Linked DNA regions of Saccharomyces cerevisiae S288C. The protein of the gene in region 2 interacts with the protein of the main gene of each other region in a biochemical or structural test. Each region holds a gene or a part of one and is shown on either strand. Other genes may lie near its edges.

Evidence for each region.
Region 1: the proteins of HSP60 (region 2) and HSP10 form a complex in vitro, tested with the Saccharomyces cerevisiae proteins (one study listed by BioGRID).

The regions. Positions count from the first base shown.
Region 1 is NC_001147.6:369,860-372,384, forward strand, and holds HSP10 (Hsp10p), read right to left. Parts: upstream 986-2,525; coding exon 665-985; downstream 1-664. Other genes in the region: YOR019W (uncharacterized protein), read left to right, coding at 1-460; MCO10 (Mco10p), read left to right, coding at 1,826-2,098. UniProt on the Saccharomyces cerevisiae protein: Eukaryotic CPN10 homolog which is essential for mitochondrial protein biogenesis, together with CPN60. Binds to CPN60 in the presence of Mg-ATP and suppresses the ATPase activity of the latter.
Region 2 is NC_001144.5:663,394-667,157, forward strand, and holds the start of HSP60 (chaperone ATPase HSP60), read right to left. Parts: upstream 1,610-3,764; coding exon 1-1,609. Other genes in the region: sphinganine kinase LCB5, read left to right, coding at 2,451-3,764. UniProt on the Saccharomyces cerevisiae protein: May participate in assembly and/or disassembly of proteins imported into the mitochondrion. HSP60 are ATPases and have affinity for unfolded proteins.

The DNA.
Region 1 (2,525 bases), on a different chromosome or scaffold from region 2:
TAGCTCGCCTACGTCCCAAATCAAGTTTGCAACCTCTGTAAAACACAAAGATGGAAGAGCCGCCCTTGGCAAAGCCAGAAATCTGCCTGATATAAGGCACAGTATTTCCTTCGACAAAGAAAATTCCTTTGATCCATCTGATAAAAGCAGTAGTGTTGATAATAGCATTCCTTTGAGGAAAGTTAAAAGTGCCGGTGCGTTAAGAAAAGTCAAAACTAATGACTCCTCAAGTAGTGCAGGGTCAAAGAAAAGCTCGTCTAGTTTTAGTACTGTGAACACCTTCACTGGGGGTGGAGTTGGGATTTTTAAGGTGTTTAAAAGTGGAAGTTCCTCTGGAAATAAATCATCCAGTAGAAGGAATAGTAGCAGTGGCGATGTTTTTGAAAGTGATGATCGTAACGACAAGAAAAAGAAGAAGAAAAAAAAGAAGAAATCATTGTTCTTATTCGGCAAAATATGAGCGGATAGTTTGTACACATAGTGTCCCTAAAATTCCTATTGATGAATAGATCAATTTTATTAGCAGACAATTGGGGGCAGCAACTGAATAGCAGAAGAAATTTGAGTTCAATTATTTTTTTTTCCTGTCATACATAATGGCCTATTTACAGGTACATACATATAGAGTATGTATATAAAATCTCTGTTGAAGAAGACATCATTCTTAGTCCTTGGCAATCTTAGCCAGGATTTCAGCGTCCCTGAAAAGAATAACTTCATCGTCGTTACCCAATTTAATGGTAGAACCACCAAACTGTGGAATCAAAACTTGGTCACCAACTTTAACTTGAGGAACAACCTTATTACCATTAGCATCAGTAAAGCCCGGGCCTACGGCAACAACTTCAGCTTGGTTTAACTTCTCCACGTTCTTTTCAGGTAAATACAACCCGGATGCTGTCTTTGCTTGTGCCTTGATTCTTTGGACAAGGACACGGTCCATCAATGGAACGATAGATTTAGCAGACTTCAAAAGGGTGGACATTCTTTTTTTTCTGTAGATTCAATATATTTTCGATCAATGGCTTCTATCAGAAATTATTTTAAACCTAGCACATAATAAGTTTGTACTGTATAAGCGTTTTGACTAATTTTATACATAATCAAGCTTCTTTTTCCCATTCCTTCAAGATTCTAGAAATTTCTATCATTGATGACGGGCATTACCCCGTTAATGACCTTCACACGAATGAGAATTGGGCGGCTAATGAGAGAACTTCGAGAGGTGCAATAAGTGAGAAATAACAACTTTAGAACTCATTATGATTGCTTCCAATACCTAATCCTACGTATGTACTAAATTAAAAAGACAGACATGCATTATTGAATATTGACATTTTGAGAGTAACTTTTTATTATGAGTGGCATAATAAGATAATCGACGCAAGCCACAATTTATACAATAAAAAATGCTACCATCGCTGCTACATATGAACGAAAATAATACAACTATCGTTACGGCCTTTGCTGAACCGTAATAAAATAAAATTCCTTGTTACATTTTTTTAGCCAGCTGCCTCAGAAAGAGGCGTTTACTATTTAATGGAGAAAGAAAGCAAAGAAAAATAAAAGGTATTTTCTTTACGGAAAGCCTTCGAGCAATCCAGGAGAAAGTGGACCTTTTTTTCCCAATGAAGAGATCATAGGAGTATGGATTGAAAATATAATAGAACTTCGGGTAACGAGGTGTAATTTCACAGTCCATAATACAGAGCTAACGGTTTAAGGGTAAATAGTTATCTAAGTCAAGTTTTGAAGGAACAAGTAAGAAAGGTCGCTACTGTTTCTAAACATAAGATATACAAAAATAAATATAGCTATCTCAATGGGTGCTGCATACAAAGTATTTGGGAAGACGGTTCAACCTCACGTATTGGCTATATCTACGTTTATCGCTACTGCTGCAGTGGCATCTTACTTTACCACGAAACCAAAAACCAAAAATGAAGGCAAGAATAGTTCTGCCTTGAGCCAACAAAAAAGCGGTGAAAGTTCAAACTCAGATGCTATGGGAAAGGACGATGATGTCGTAAAGAGTATTGAAGGATTTTTAAATGATTTAGAGAAAGATACGAGGCAGGATACGAAAGCCAACTGATTATGTATAAAAATTTCTGAAATGGTGGTGTTCTTCATCGTTCAGTGAAGGGATGCACTGATTTCTATAAACTTGAAGCACTTTTTGAAACTACTGTTCTATAACGAAAATTAGCGTCCTTCTTTCTATTAAGTATGCATTATACATATAATTCAATATATTCTGAATAGCAAAACGGCAATGAAAAAAAAAAAACACTGAAAATACTTGCCTTAGGCCATTGTGCATGATACGAATATGCACAAAACTTGCCTCTTTTTACTTTACGGATCAATGACAACACTCAGGTGTAAGTGATAGTTGATGGCCTTTCAATATTTGAAAGGCTGGAAGATAATTATAAAAAATCGAACTAATTGCCTATGATTGTTTCATTACTGAGACTATTTTTTCACCTCAAGGGGGTCGTCTGAATTAGCAAAGCCAT
Region 2 (3,764 bases):
AGGCAACACCAGAAGCATCAACTAAACCGGATCTAACCACTTTAAATGGATCGATGATACCAGTGGCTAACATGTCGGTGTATTCTGACTTAGAGGCATCGTAACCCTTGGCAAAATCATCACCATATTCATCAATCAATTTGCCGATGATAACTGAACCTTCTTCACCAGCGTTTTCAATGATCTGCTTGGCTGGTCTTGTAATGGCCTTTCTTATGATATCGACACCCAATTTTTGATCGAAATTGTCGACAACAACTTCATCCAAAACTCTAGATGCCTTCACTAAGGCAGTACCACCACCTGGCAAGATACCTTCCTCAACTGCAGCTCTGGTAGCGTTCAAAGCATCATCGTAACGGTCCTTCTTTTCACCAACTTCAACTTCAGATGCACCACCGACCCTGATGACAGCAACACCCCCGGACAATTTGGCCAAACGCTCTTGCAGTTTCTCCTTCTCATATGAATTTGTGGTGGTAATGTCGATGGAGCCTTTGATTTGTTCAATTCTCTCTTGAATAGCTTCCTTTGGACCACTACCGTTCAGGATAACGGTGTCTTCCTTAGTAACGGTAATAGAGTCACAAGAACCCAAGTTTTCTATGGTACATTGTTCTGGTTTCAAATCCAACTCCTCAGTAAAAACAGTACCGCCCGTCAAGACTGCAATATCACCAATTGTATTCTTTCTATTATCACCGAAACCAGGCGCCTTCACAGCACAAACCTTAACTTGACCCCTCAACTTGTTCAAAATACAAGCCGCAAGAGCTTCACCGTCAACATCTTCAGCAATGATCAACAAAGGTCTTCTGCTTTGATTGGAAATTTCCAAAGCTGGCAAGATATCTTGAATGGAAGAAATTTTCTTTTCACTCAACAATAGCAATGGCTTTTCAAATTCCACCTTGCTCGACTTTGGATCAGTGATGAAGTATGGAGAAATAAAACCACGATCAAACCTCATACCTTCAGTAACCTCAAGTTCATCTTCCAATGTTCTACCTTCTCTGATAGTGATGACACCTTCTTTTCCAACCTTTTCCATAGCTGAAGCTAGTAACTTACCAACATGAGAGTCCCCATTGGCAGAAATGGTTGCTACTTGAGCAATTTCCTCAGATGTGGTAATTTCTTTCTTGTTGGCGCTCAAAAATTCAATCACTTTTTCAACTGCAACTTGAGAACCCCTTCTCAAATCCATAGGGTTACAACCAGCGGCGACATTTTTGACGGATTCTGTGAAGATGGCTCTACCTAAGACAGTAGCAGAAGTAGTACCGTCACCAGCAGCCTCATTGGTTTTGGAGGCAACTTCTTGTAGTAACTTGGCACCCATATTTTCAAACTTGTCCTTCAACACAATAGATTTGGCAACTGTAACACCATCCTTAGTAATCTTTGGAGGACCGAAAGGCTGTTCGATTAAAACGTTTCTACCCTTTGGACCCAAAGTAGCAGCAACCGCTTCAGCTAAAGTTTCGACACCCTTAAGAAGGGAGGCTCTTCCTTCTACACCGAATTTCAATTCTTTATGAGAGGAGTAAGCACGACGCAATAAAGGCCTTAAAGTAGCGCGACTACGAACAACGGATGATCTCAACATTTTGAAAACTTTTTTGCTTATGATGTTTTCTCGTGGGAATTTTCTTATATTATTCAAGGAAGTGCATGAAGACGCAACCACGACCTTACATAATGAATGTAAAACTTAGTCTCCTTCAATATATATACATGAATGTCCGTCTGGATTCTGCTCCGGGCAAAACGAAGCAAAATTAAAGTCACCCTCCCCATTTGGTTTTCTGGAAAATTCCACGAGGTCCGTATATGATGACATATACAGATGGGCGGCTATAAAGTAAGTTTCCAGAGGTAATACCAGGCAATAAACAGCTTCAATTGCTCGTAACACCATTGTATACCTACAAAAACAGTGGAATAGGGATGAGACATAACTGGCTGGAATTTCAACTGTACTTCTTTGCACAACTAGTCTTGGCGTTCTACTTGATCATTGCGCGAATGGATGCACTCGCAATAATTCCCAATAGTATAACAGGAGGAACATTTGGATGCATTAGGTATATTATTCATCTTCTTTATCATCAAAATTTTCTCTTCCTTTATGTTACTATGTTGCTTTCTTTTAATCTATGTTTTTTTCCCTTTCAGTTGCCACCGCTTTTCTGCAAGATTCATAGTTAGATTTGCAAATCAAGGTGTTTTCGGGCCTTGTTAAAGCCTTCGCAGGCGAAGAAGAAAGGGAACGTAAGCTGCGTGAGCCGAATCTATTTATACAAAAACAATCAAAAAAGTATAACTACAGCATAAACTGTTGTATATACGTGTTGCAAAATAGGAAAGAAAAGAAGAGTAAAAGGACTCTTGATATTATCTCGAAAAAACCACAAATAGTGTAAGATTTAAACAGTAAGCCAAAAGAGATGACTTTGAAACCTTCAAAGAGACGTAAGGGCAGGTCTCGCCATTCCAGGAAGAAGCAAATAACGTCAGCGATACTGACTGAGGAAGGAATAATGATCAAGGCAAAACCATCAAGTCCTTACACATACGCAAATAGAATGGCAGATAAACGAAGTCGCAGCAGCATTGACAACATCAGTAGAACTAGCTTTCAAAGCAACATCAGTAGAACTAGCTTTCAAAGCAACAGTGATAACAACAGTATATTTGAAACGGCTTCACTAATTAGCTGTGTTACCTGTTTAAGCGATACTGATACAATAGACAGATCGGAAACATCGACAACGGATACAAGTAAAGATGATCTTTCTGCTAATCCAAAACTTCATTATCCTTCGGTGAATGGTCAATTGCCAGCAAACACCGTTATCCCCTATGGACGAATTCTGGATGCCAGATACATTGAAAAGGAACCTCTGCATTATTATGATGCCAATTCATCACCCAGTTCACCTTTAAGCAGCTCAATGAGTAACATTAGTGAAAAGTGTGATCTTGATGAATTAGAGTCTTCCCAAAAAAAAGAAAGGAAGGGCAACTCGCTATCGCGAGGAAGTAACAGTAGTAGTAGCCTCCTGACTTCCAGATCTCCTTTTACGAAACTAGTAGAGGTTATATTTGCTAGGCCAAGACGGCATGACGTTGTACCCAAAAGGGTTTCATTGTATATTGACTATAAACCCCATTCATCTTCTCACTTAAAAGAAGAAGATGACTTGGTTGAGGAGATTTTAAAGAGAAGCTACAAAAACACTAGAAGGAACAAATCCATATTTGTGATCATTAATCCGTTTGGTGGTAAAGGTAAGGCGAAAAAACTGTTTATGACAAAGGCAAAGCCGTTACTATTAGCAAGTCGGTGTTCCATAGAAGTGGTTTATACAAAATACCCTGGTCATGCTATAGAGATCGCGCGGGAAATGGATATTGACAAATATGACACTATTGCTTGCGCTTCGGGAGATGGCATTCCTCATGAGGTGATCAATGGGTTATACCAAAGGCCTGATCATGTCAAAGCATTCAACAATATCGCCATTACAGAAATTCCATGCGGATCAGGTAACGCAATGAGCGTATCCTGCCACTGGACAAACAATCCTTCGTACTCAACTTTATGCTTAATTAAATCGATAGAGACTAGAATTGATTTGATGTGTTGTTCGCAGCCTTCTTATGCAAGAGAGCACCCAAAGTTATCATTTTTAAGTCAAACATATGGTCTCATTGCAGAAACTGACATAAACACTGAATTTATTAGATGGATGGGACCT